3 linked regions of the Callithrix jacchus genome follow. The protein of the gene in region 3 interacts with the protein of the main gene of each other region in a biochemical or structural test. Links are inferred from orthologs where the notes say so. Each region holds a gene or a part of one and is shown on either strand. Other genes may lie near its edges.

Region 1 (3,945 bases), on a different chromosome or scaffold from region 3:
GCTTGGAGGAGGCGAAAGTGGCTGGTCGAGGTGGCTCACGCTTTGGGAGGCCAAGGCAGGCGCATCACAAGGTCAGGAATTTGAGACCAGCTTGGCCAACATAGTGAAACCCTTTCTCTACTAAAAACACAAAAACCAGCCGGGCATGGCGGCACACGCCTGTAGTCCCAGATACTTGGGAGGCTGAGTCAGAAGAATCACTTGAACCCAGGATGCGGAGATTGTGGTGAGCCAAGATCCCACCACTGCACTCCAGCCTGGGTAACAGAGTGAGACTTGTCTCAAAAAAAAAAAAAAAAAAGGAGGACAAGTGACCCCCAAAATGGGGTGGAGCATCAGGCCAGACTTTAGTCCTTAGCTACTGCTCCCCACCAATTTCATTTCCCAGCCATTCACTGTGCTCCAGTCATGTGGGCCTTCTCTCCCCACTCAGGGTCTCTGCACTGGCCATTCCCTCTGCCCAGAACTGGCTCTTCCTTATCAATCAGGTTTCATTTCCCATGTCATCTCCCTAAAGGGCCTACATCCCCACCCCACCACACTAGCCTAATTTTATTCACCATAGGTCTTGTGTTCACATCTGTTCACTGGTTTATCACCTTTCTAACCAACCAGAATCTAAGGATGCTGTCCCCCTCAATCACTGCGGAGTCTGCAGTCTCTAAACCCTGCTCAGCACTGGCAGGTGCTCAGAAGGGAAGAGCCTTCCAGCTCAAGAGCTATCCCTTCCTTTTGGGGGCAGATCCAAGCGCCAGAGCCTTCTTCCTTATGTTGAATCACAACCCAGATTCTAAAATTCCCCAGCCCTGGATCCCAGCTTTGCCCCCTGTACTGGCCAGTGGGAAGCCTCATTCTAGTCCTTCCTAACGAGTACTTTAGCCATTTCCTAACTAAACTGCCTGTTGCAACAGGATACCACTGACAGGCCCTCTGCCTGACAGGCCCTGGTGGCCTCCTGAGTACAAGCTCTGCATTGGCCAATGTCCCCACCCAGAAATGGGCATATTACTATTATTAGCAATAACAACAGCAGCTAATATACTTATATATATAAGTATAAATATAATATAATATATAAAAATATATATATTATATATATATAATAATAAACAGCAGTTAATACACTTAACAGTGTATCTGACAACATGTGCCAGATACACTGTTAAGCACTTTAGACACATTGTTTCATTTCAGCCTCCCAATGCTATGAGGAAGGGATTATAATGTTAAGCAACTTGTCCAAGGTCACACAGCTAGGAATTGGCAAAACTGGGTTTAGAACCCAGGGAGCCCAACCAAGGAGTCCAAATCAAGCATCCTTCCTCCCCCTTGCCACCCGCTTGGACCTGTGTAGTGGATGGAGGGTACACACTGCACAGAGCAGTCCCACAGCCTCTGTCCAGAGAGCAGGTCAGAAGCTAAGGGCCTTTGAGCCAGGCACAGGGCCTGAACTCCTCAGCTGATTTTCTTGAGTCCAGCACGGGCCTCAACCGGGATGTCAGTCACATTCACATTGTTAATCTCAGCCCATCCTTCTGCCCAGTCGCCTGCAATTAGAATCTTGATGTTATCACACTGTAAGTGTCACTCCTCACAGCTCTGGGTGACTACAAGGAGTTGGCTGACTTCCTGTTTAAGTCTTCATCCAAGTCACTGATAAGAACGTTCACTTGAGTAGGTCTAGGGGCAAGCCTTGTAGCCCCACCACTAGGGCCCCAGACCAGGCCGACAGCAGCCCCCAAATCCATCAGCACCCATTGGGCATAACTGTAGGGAACCTAACGACCTCTGCCCAGCCTGCGTTTTCCCAATGTGCCCCTAATATAGCCCTATACCCAAATTCACAATTCACTGAAAACCACCTCTGCAGCATTTCTCGAGTCCACCAGGTCATCTATCAAAAATGAAGACATAAAAAGGGAATGAGAGAAGTCAAGGAACTGTGCCCCGGGCCCTCAACACAGACCACCAGGGTAAGAAGGTCTGGAAATACCCGCCCCCACCCCACCCAATGTAAGGAGGGAAGATGTTGCGGCAAACAACAACAACAACAACACGCCTGGGAGACACGAACCCCGAGTCCTAAGCCCCAGCTCCGCCTGACTCCACGAGATCCCCAGCCTTGGTTCCTCGACTCAGTCCCGCTAAGGGGCTGCATCGCGCAGCATCGGTCCCTCTCGGCTGGGTCTCCTGGCAGACGAGCTCCCGCGCTCCTGGAACCGGTTCCCGCAGCCGGCGGGGAAATGGAAGGAATTTCTCTGGCCTGGCCACCTCCAGCGCCCCTCGTGGGCCAAACCCCACCCTTGGCGGGCTGGGGAGAGAAAGCCTTGGCGGTCGCTCTTGGGGGCTGACTCGGAGCCAGGAGGTTCCGCTGGGAATCCAGTCCCTCTCCCCGACTCCCCTAGTTTCCAAGCGGGACTCCCGGCATGGCCCCGAGCCCGCCCCAAGGCATCCACCAAGGCCCCGAGACTGCCCGGCCTCTCCCGGGCCCACCTCCAGCCACCCCGACGGCCCCTCACCTGACCCTGCGGGCTCCGCTCGCCTCTCCACCCCCGCTTTCCGGGGTCGCGCCCCAGCAGTCCCGAAGCTGCTCCGCGCCGCAGGGGCGCCCATGCCGGCAGGCCGGGGGTCGAGGGTGCCGCGCTGGGATCCCGCCAGTTCCGCCGCCACCGCCGCCTCGCGCTCCTGCAGCCGCGCCGCCGCTCGGCGCCCCCCGCCCCCGGGTAGCCCCCCGCCCGCAGTTCCGGCAGCACCGCGCTCCCCGCCCCCGCGCCCGCGGCCGCCCGCGCTCTGCCCCAGCCCCGGCGCACCTCCCCCGGCGGGAGGGGCGGGGACCGTGACGCGCGCCCATTGACGTCTCCGGAATCCCGGCGGCGGCGGCCGACGCAGCCTCATCAATGGGGCTAAAAATAGCGGCGCCCGGAATAGCCGCGAGCGCCCCGCCCCGCGGCTCCCCCCACGCCGCACACCCGGTTACATAACCCGCCTCCTGCGGCCGGAGCCGGGGAGCTGGTTCTCAGGTGAGGGAACCGAGGCCTCACTCACACCTCCCGAGGCGGCGCACCCGGGGCTAGGTTATAAATAAACTTACCTGGGGCTTCCCCAGGAAGAAGTGGAAAGAGCGAGGCTCAGAGAGGCTCGGTGGCGGCCCACAGTCACACAGCAATTCGTCTGCTCGCGAAGACAGGGCCTGGCCTTTGAGTCTGCGGGCGCCTTGCCTGCATCGCTTGGCCTTCATGCCACCCCAAGAACAAAAAATCCCAGGTAGCAGGGCACCCAGCTTCCACACGAGAAGGCAGCTTATAGAAAAAAACGACTTCCTCAGAGGGTGAGATTTCTCCTGAAGAGGGCACTTCCCGAGGAGCGGGAGCAGGCCGCGGCAAAGCCCAGGTGATGGATTCACTGATCTGGCTGCTCCCATGCCACTGTGTGGCCTAGGGCAGTCGCTTGACCTCTCGGAGCCTCAGCTTCCTCAGCTCTAAAATGAAGATGATATGTCCGATTATCCACCCTTTCTGGTTGTCAGGACAATAACAGCTGCAGAGGTGCCTTGTACACAGTATACCCTCGGAGCTGGTTCTCCTCCCTGCTCTCCCCAGTCCACAAGAGTGCTTAATGCTCTCAGTGGCCCACCGCCGTGGCCAGGAAGCCCTGGGAGGCCCACCCTCGCCTAACCAGAGTCTCCAGGCCCAGGCTTCCACGGTAAGAATCTTCCTGGGGCTGCAGGCACTTGGAATGTTCCTGTCTCCGACGTGACTGGAGCCGTCTTTGGAAATGGGAGAACCATCCTGTCCTGAGCAAATCTTTCTCCCCCAGCAGCTGCCCACTCAGGAGTGGCTGGTCAGGAAGGCCAGGCAGGCCAAGGTTGGAGCAATGGGGTTGGGGCTGACTGGGTGGGATTGGGGGGAACCATCCTCTCCTTAGCAAATCCTTCTCCCCCAGCAG
Region 2 (4,281 bases), about 3.4 Mb from region 3:
TAACCAGTAAGACCTAATATGCCCATACTAGTGACAAACTGAGTAACCCAGGAAGCATTTCTCTTAACTTCGGCTTTATGTGCACCTGTTTTCCAAATGTGACAAACACACACACACATTGTGACTCACCAACAGCAATCCATAAAATAAAATAAAGACATTTACTTTGAATTATTTTTAAATACATCCTGGATGAGGCAAGTGTTACCTTTACCTTCAAATATGGCAAATACTACAAAGAGTAACATTAGTCATTTTACCAGCCTCAGATGATGTCATCTTCTTAGCCTTCATTTAAGGTTGTCTGGGGAACAGAAGTCAAGTTCTGTGTGGATTTCAAGTAGGATTTGGTTTTCAAATGGCAATAATTTACAACTTAGGTTACACTCTCATTATATAGGCAAATCTAAATGTATTCTTTTTCTCACTGAAAAACTCTGATATTTTCTCATAGAAGACTCATAAAATCGTATTCTAAAATTGTCTACATTCTCTAAAATAATTTAAATATTTCTATTTTAATGTAAGCCCACTTCTTCCTACAACCCCATTCTGTACCAATCCATTGCCTTTATGGACATGAGAGGAGCAGTAAACAAGTAATGTTTAATTCACATGTTTCCTACTTTTTGGAATTGAGTTATTCTAAATGAATATTAAGAAAAATAATGCCTATAATTTCCAAGTACACTTTGTTCAGTAAGTGCAATTAACACTATACTGACTATAATATCACACCTATACTGACGATAATTTCAATTTTTCTTAACTATTTCAAAGAGCAGCTTGAGGTCTTTTGGGTCTACTTCATGATTATATACATGAAAAATCATGATTACAAATTAAAATATGGCCTATTTTATAATCGACCCCGAAAAGACCACATTTAGGCTCAAAATAAATAACTGTAAGTACATAGTAAAGCAAAATTTTAAACCTACATTTCAACTAATTTCTCTCTACAAGAGCTGAGTGAAATCCTTCCTAACCCCTACACCAAGAGACCTAATAAATCTCATTAGACGTTATTCTTTATGGGCTACAAGATCAAACATTTTGTGAAGTTTTGTGTTGTTGTTCTTGCTGCTGTTTGAGAGGGAGTCTCTCTCTGTCGCCCATACAGTGGCGCAATCTCAGCTCATTGTAACCTCCACTTCTCGCGTTCAAGAGATTCTCCTTCCTCAGCCCCTCGAGTAGCTGGGATTACAGGCGCGTGCCACCACGCCTGGCTAATTTTTTGTATTTTTAGTAGAGATGGGGTTTCACTGTGTTACTCAGGATGGTCTTGATCTCCTACCCTCGCGATCCGCCCGCCTCAGACTCCCAAAGTGTTGGGATTACAGGCGTCAGCCACGGCACCCGGCCTATATAAGAAGTATTTACATAGACATGTTGTCGACAGAGATTGAGATACATTAATACACAGTTCTAAAAGAAAAACCAATACCATTCAGCACCCAACATTGGAAGCCCTGTATCCGTCTCACCAAAAAAGTAGAAAAAAAGGCAGAAAATAGTTCCCAGTTGTTTCCTTAACTTTTAAAAATCGCAGTTACCTATAAACATATTAGTATCAAATCAAGTTTAAGAGGGACTTTGTGCTGCTTCTTGTTCTTGGAAATTAAGTCAAACCACAAAGTGCTATGCACAGGTCAGATCCTTCGGCAAGAAAACATGGTCAGAATTCTTGGACATCACAAAACGTAGACAAAGCTTTTTCCGTCTTACACAAGAGGCAGAGACAGCAGCCTGTTACCAACTTAGGCATGGGCACATTTGCAATGCACCACTTCCTTTGCACGCCCCACGAACTCTATAAAATGAAAGTAACTTAAAAAGTGGGGGGGGGGGCGGGTCGGGGGCGTCTAATCGTCTGATGCAACAGCAGTACGGCCCCAGAGATTGTGGGTCCGGGGCAGAACCATGGGTTCTCTGATTAGATTTATAAAAAGGATGGGACCCGGGGCTGGTGGGGGGCTGGCCTGAAAAGTATGAATGGGGGCGGGGAGTGGAAATGGATGAATGAAAAAAGGGAGGGATCAACACCTATTCTCCTATCCCACAATACCGATTATTTAAAGGTTATTAGAATTTCTAAGCTCCGAACACAGGGTCCCTTGTGGGGCCGTCTCTGGAAGCGCCAGGAGTCCAGGCGGTCCCCGGAGCCCTCTCCTGCCCCTTCTGCGGCGACAATGACTTTCTCCTAGAGGCAGCCTCATACACTTGCACTTGTTTTCCTCGTGACCCCGGGGAAGGGCAAGTGGGGAGGAGGAAAGAGAGGAGGCCAGGAGCTTTTTGCCGCTGGTGAGACGCAGCTACATCCCAATCCCAAATAGGGCTCGGCTTCTCGTCGTCCCAGTGAGGCTGGGGAAAACCCCTGTAGAACTTCCTGGAGGCGCCCCTAAGGCTGGCGCGCGGGCACAGACCTGGCCCGACCTTGGGCCCCCGACAGTGTGTGCCCGAGCCCAGACGGGCGGAGCCCGCCCCGACCGATACCTCGACCCCGGACCCGACCCCGCCCGGCCTGAGTCCCCGCGGGCCCCAGCGGGTCGGTACCTGCTGGAGCCCGCGCGGGGCTCGGTTGCGCGCTCTTGCGCGCCTTCTTCCCAGGCATCTCTGCCGGTGCCGCAGCCCACTCAGCTGCGGAGCCTGGGAGCCTCAGCCTCCGCCCGGGGCACCTCGGACGTCCGCAGGACGCGAGCCGCACAGAACAGACCCGCAGGCTGGGGTAGCGGGATCTGATGGCGGGATCGGGTGGCCGGACGCGCGGAGCTGACGAGCGAACTCCGTGAGTGCCAGGGAACTTGTGAGGTCCCAGCGCCAGAGACCGTGCTTTTGTTCCCGCGGGGGACTTCCCTGGTGACGTAGGAAAACTTCACGCCGGGCCCGCCCCCTGTCCCCGCCCCTGTCCGGGCCCCGCGGACTGAGTTTCTGGAGCAAACACTGGGTCCCGGCTGGCTCGAAAGTTCGGGCAGGCGGGGAAGTTCCCCATAGAGCGCGGCCTGCCGGGACACGCTCCGGACCCGCGGCGGCGCCGACCCGCGGCGGGGGATGCTGAGCGCTCGGCGGGCGAGACCCTGTTGGGCCCCAAATTACTTCCTTACAAAACGGGAGTGGGAGGAGAAGAGGGTCGGCCTGAGCATCTGCAAAAGCGGGACGTCGTCCGCGGCAGTGGTGGCGGGAGCTGAGAGGGGCGGGAGGGGAAGGATATTCCCAGGAGGAAAGCTGGTGGGTGGGAAGAGACCTGGCGCCTGGACAATTAGAGAGAGACTTGGGTAAACAAGCCCCGGAAAGAGATTGGAAAAGGAAACTTTTCGAACTTGGAGAGTATGCGCAGTAGCAGGGAGGGGAAATGAGGAGAACATTAATCGCGGCAGAGGAGAAGCCAGAGGCCCTGTGAGAAGGCGCCGGGGTCCGGGAAGTCACTGCGAACGCGAGCCCTGGTGCCAGGCAGAAAGAACTTCGTGTTTGAGTTGGGAAGGGGTTTGTGTGTGTCCTTCCAGAAAGGTCGATATCGCCCATTCTGGATGTTTAGCAAAAACGAGTGGATCATTATCATATGGAAAACGTTCAGATATTTTGTGGGAGGGATGAGCTACCTGGAAAAGTGAAATTATTAATGCAACACTTGGCGAGGCCCCGAGTAAGTCTACTATTATGAGGAGGTAATTAGGAATAGTTAACGGTTACTGGGAGTCGCTCCGTGCTAAGAGCTTTGGCATGTAACCGTCGCTACTTTACAGGTGCCGAGACAGATTTATAGAAAATTGCCCAAGTTCACATAGGCAAAGAGCACTGCCGTGATCCCGACCCACGCAGTCCCACAGAGAGCAAGCGCTCTTATCCACTGTAGCCTTCCCAGCAATCAGTTTCTTGGAAAATGTGTGTTTTCTCCGGTCGCGGTGGCTCACGCCTGTAATCTCAGCTCTTTGGGAGGCCGAGAAGGCTTGTTCACTTGAGGCCAGCAGTTCAAAACCAGTCTTTGTAAAATACAAAAAATTAGCCAGCCTTGGGTTGGCGCACGCCTGTGGTACCAGCTGCTTGGGAGGCTGAGGCACGAAAATCGCTAGAACCTGGGAATCGGAGGTTGCAGTGAGCCGAGATCGCGCCACTGCACTCCAGCCTGGGCGACAAAATAAGACAGCCTCAGAAAAGAAAAGGAAAAAAAAAAATGTGTGTTTTCATATTAGCTGTACTGTTTAATGGAAATATTGCAATTTGGTTGCATGGACTCTCTAGAAGTGTTTGGTTTAAATTGGCCTTCAAAATATATTGCAAAAA
Region 3 (4,078 bases):
AAAATTATGTCGACTCTAGGTAGTGAAAAACAAAAGATTCTAACAACATTCTAGTGAATTAGTAACTCATACACAAATTATAGAACATAAAGAATGCAGCCGATGCAAATTCTGTCACTGACGAGGTAGCAAAGCCATAGACCAATACCCCTCAAGACACTGCGTCACGCCCACTGGAAATATGGCACACACTGGAGATTCCAGTGCAAGGACTTTGGAATGTCAATTTAGCTCTTTACAAACACAACTAAGTTTTCCAGGGAAAGGGACTCAGGTTGGTTTTCCTCTTTTGGAAAATTTTACCGAGTTAGAAAAAGCGTACCCTTAGTCTTCTGTGGAGTCTGTTCTTCTCATTGGGGTGTTCCCAAATTTAAGTGCACCAGGGGCGTGTCTCAGGGGAGCTTGTTTAGGATGCAGACTGTCAAGACCCAACCTGGCATCTGGTTCATAAGCAGGCCCTGAAACCTCCCTCCGGTCCCAACAAGCTGCTCAGGCCAGGAAACTGTGGTCCTGGGGACTCCTGGACCTCCAGCTCGAGAAACACTGAAGGGGTACCATTGACCACCACATCCTACTGGACCTCCTCAACTAGCGAGCAAGTTAAAGACTTTTAGAGGGCAGGCGTCATCACTCAGGTTGGGAAAGAACACTTTGTCCAGAGGAAGAGGTTATGGACGCCGGGAAGCAACAACCCTGATTTTATTTCACCAGCCCCACAGCCTCCCCTTACCCCAGGAGCCCACCCGCCGCACTCCAACCCCCACATCTCGGACCTGCAGCCTCAGCCCAGACTCCCATCACCACGTGCACCTACCCAGCCTCCGTTATCCTGGATCCAGGTGTGCAGGTGCCGGTTCAGGTACTCGGTCATCCACAGGGCGATGTTGTCCACCAGGGGCGACATCTCCCGGTTGACGCTCTCCACACACATGACCCCACCGAACTCAAAGAAGGCCACAATCCTCCCCCAGTTCACCCCGTCCCTGAAGAGCTCCTCCACCACCGTGGCAAAGCGTCCCCGCGCGGTGAAGGGCGTCAGGTGCAGCTGGCTGGACATCTCGGCGAAGTCGCGGCGGTAGCGGCGGGAGAAGTCGTCGCCGGCCTGGCGGAGGGTCAGGTGGACCACAGGTGGCACCGGGCTGAGCGTAGGCCCCGTGGCGGCGGCGGCGGGGGCGGCTGGGGGCGGCGGCGGCGAGGTCCTGGCGACCGGGTCCCGGGGCGCGGCGGGACCGGGCGTGTGCCCGGGCTGGGAAGAGAAGATGCCCTCCGCGGGGGCGGCCCCTGGGGGCGCGGCGCCCACATCTCCGGCATCCCACTCGTAGCCCCTCTGCGACAGCTTATAGTGGATGTACTTCATCACTATCTCCCGGTTATCGTACCCTGTTCTCCCAGCGTGCGCCATCCTTCCCCGAGGAAAAGCAGCGGGGGCCAACGGCACCTCTCGCTCCAGCTCCCACCCCACGGCCCCCAAAGAAAGAAGAAGAGTTATAATCCAGCTATTTTATTGGATGTGCTTTGCATTCTTGGAAGAGGGGGTGTCTTCAGTCACGCGGAACACTTGATTCTGGTGTTTCCCCCTTGGCATGAGACGCAGGAAATTTTTATTCCAATTCCTTTCGGATCTTTATTTCATGAGGCACGTTAGTAGTAAGCATTGTTAATATCAGTCTACTTCCTCCGTGATGCTGAAAGGTTAAAGAAGAAACAAACTCATAAGTTAAAAAAATCAGGTGCATTTTCCTGTATGCCCTGGCTGAAAGCAGGGCATACGCACTACAAGTAACACGGCTAAAAAGAATGTATTAAACTGCCTGGAAATTAAATTTACTCGAATGCACTTTAAGTAAAAATTCTCAAATGTTTTCATTGAAAGTTACATTAAGCCAATTTCCTGTGCAGAGAACTTACTTGTATTTTTTAAGAACAGCATGATCCTCTGTCAAGTTTCCTTTTTTGTAAAACCAAAACAAATGCATAAGGCAACAATCCCATCAATCTTCAGCACTCTCCGGTTATAGCTGCTTTGAAACTTCCCAATGAATCAGAAGTCGGGGGGAGGGGGAGTAAAAATTAGGAGGATTTCCAGATCGATTCCCAGACTTCTGCTTCACAGAAATGTCAATCCGCAGGAATCCCAACTGGAGATCTCAAGAGCTCGAGAAAAAAAGGCAGCGGCGGCGGCAGATGAATTACAATTTTCAGTCCGGTATTCGCAGAAGTCCTGTGATGTTTTCCCCTTCTCGGCAATTTACACGCGCGCATACACGCGCGGGCACAGGCATGAATCTCTATCCACCGGACCGCTTCACGCCTCCCCGGCAGAGAGACAGGGGAGGGGGGACGACGGAGGAGCCGGGGACGGGGGCAGCAATCCTCTTCTGATTAAACTCCGAACAGCGAATGCATTTTCCGAAAAGCTGCTGGATAAATGAAGGCAGGACGCGCCTGGCCCGCCGGTGCCGAGCGCTAGAAGCCCGCGCTGTGTGTGGTGCGGCGAGGGGTGGGGAGAAGGAGGTGGTGGGGGAGGGCTTTATTTTTTCCCTCTTTTCCTAAAAAGGACGACTGCTACGAAGTTCTCCCCCCTGGACCCCCTTCTTCCGCTGCACCCCACCGGCGCACCCCGCCTCCGGGCTGCGCACCCTTTCTCCTCCTCCTGCTCCTGCGCGACGGCGCTGGCTGCGGCCGCCTCCCGGAGCTCCCGCCGCGCAGCCCGCTCCGAGCGCAGACGGCCGCCGGCGGGGAGGGCCCGGCGCCCCGGCACCTTCGCTGGCAGCGGCGGCGGCGGCGGCGCGGCGGGGCCAAGGCGAGCGGCGAGCGGGCGGCGCGGCGGGCGGGCTGGCGGCGCAGAGGGGCGGGCGCGGGAGGAAGGGGGCGGGCGCGGGGCGGGGGTGTCTGTCCTCTTACTTCATTCTCCGCATAGCCCGACCGGTTTCCTGTGCGTAACGTCACACGGTTCATTCAAAAAAAGAAGAAAGAAAGAGCCCTCCTCTGAGCCGCCCGACCGCCCCCTCCGCCCCGCTCGCTGGCCCGGGTTAAAGGCGCCGCGGCGGGCCCGGGAGCGGCGCACCCCACCGGGGGCACATGGCGCGCGGGGCCGCGACCGGGGAGGGCGCACCCGGGCCGGCCACCCGCCCGTTCCGCTGCGTTCGCCCGGCCCGGCCGGTGGGTGGCGCGGGTTGCGCGGGCGGCGCAGGCCTCCCGCGCGGCCGCGGCGCGGTGGGTGTGAGCGGGCCTTCTGCTCAGGCCTGTGGAGGGCCGGGCGCGGACCTCGGGGTCCGCGAGGGGGTGGGGGCTGCCGGGGAACCGCACGCGGCCCGGCCGGCGACGGAGAGCGGAGGGGGGCGGCTGGCGGGAGGGTGCGCCATGAAAACAAGGGCTGGAAAAGCGCCGGGAACCGCCTGGACCCTTTCTAGCCGACTGAGAGAGAGAGAGAGAGAGAGAGAGAGAGAGTGAGAGAGTGAGTGTATGTGTGTGTGTGTGTCGCCTGGACCCTTTCTAGCCGTGTGTGTGTACACGCGCCTACACACACACACACACACACACACGCCATGTTACCCGCGCTCTGCCCCCGGGGGAAGACCCAGGCCAATGCCACCCCCACCCCCCACCCCCAAGCAGGGGGACCTTAGCTCTGCCCTGCGGTGAAAACAGGCGACTCTGAAACGTTTTAAGCAATATCCAGGGACGCCCCCAGCGTAGTGTTTACTTTCAAGTGGATTACTAGGTGTCGGCGCACTACACACGCGCGCGCATTCTCGCCGGTGTCCCCGTGAATATCCAGTACGTGGCCAAGGCCAGGCAGAACTCAGCGCTCCACGGAAGGAGCCAGCGAGGGGTTATCAAGGGCTTTAAAATAATTTAAGTCCGTGTTGTTCCTCTGTCCCTAACACGTTCTGCACTGGGTCAGGGCTGCACGCTGAAGAGTTCTGCATAGTAACTTTCGGGCCCACCGTCCTAACGCTGGGGTGGGTGGGCTCCTAAAGGTCTCCACCTTTCTCCACCTTTGCCTTGTAGCCAATCCTAGATGGCCGCACTTTCTCAAATGATGTACGCAGATATATACACATCCACACTCGCA

Evidence for each region.
Region 1: the proteins of BCL2 (region 3) and NR4A1 form a complex in vitro, tested with the Homo sapiens proteins (2 studies listed by BioGRID). The link is inferred for Callithrix jacchus from reciprocal best matches to the Homo sapiens genes BCL2 and NR4A1.
Region 2: the proteins of BCL2 (region 3) and PMAIP1 interact in a biophysical measurement, tested with the Homo sapiens proteins (2 studies listed by BioGRID and IntAct, with this or other methods). The link is inferred for Callithrix jacchus from reciprocal best matches to the Homo sapiens genes BCL2 and PMAIP1.

The regions. Positions count from the first base shown.
Region 1 is NC_133510.1:67,441,052-67,444,996, forward strand, and holds the start of NR4A1 (nuclear receptor subfamily 4immunitygroup A member 1), read right to left. Parts: upstream 2,809-3,945; 5' UTR 2,614-2,808; coding exon 2,520-2,613; intron 2,298-2,519; exon of another isoform or gene 2,075-2,297; intron 1-2,074. UniProt on the Homo sapiens protein: Orphan nuclear receptor. Binds the NGFI-B response element (NBRE) 5'-AAAGGTCA-3'. Binds 9-cis-retinoic acid outside of its ligand-binding (NR LBD) domain.
Region 2 is NC_133514.1:102,886,340-102,890,620, reverse strand, and holds the start of PMAIP1 (phorbol-12-myristate-13-acetate-induced protein 1), read right to left. Parts: upstream 2,809-4,281; 5' UTR 2,615-2,808; coding exon 2,557-2,614; intron 1-2,556. UniProt on the Homo sapiens protein: Promotes activation of caspases and apoptosis. Promotes mitochondrial membrane changes and efflux of apoptogenic proteins from the mitochondria. Contributes to p53/TP53-dependent apoptosis after radiation exposure. Promotes proteasomal degradation of MCL1.
Region 3 is NC_133514.1:106,292,014-106,296,091, forward strand, and holds the start of BCL2 (apoptosis regulator Bcl-2), read right to left. Parts: upstream 2,806-4,078; 5' UTR 1,909-2,805; intron 1,686-1,908; 5' UTR 1,403-1,685; coding exon 815-1,402; intron 1-814. UniProt on the Homo sapiens protein: Suppresses apoptosis in a variety of cell systems including factor-dependent lymphohematopoietic and neural cells. Regulates cell death by controlling the mitochondrial membrane permeability. Appears to function in a feedback loop system with caspases.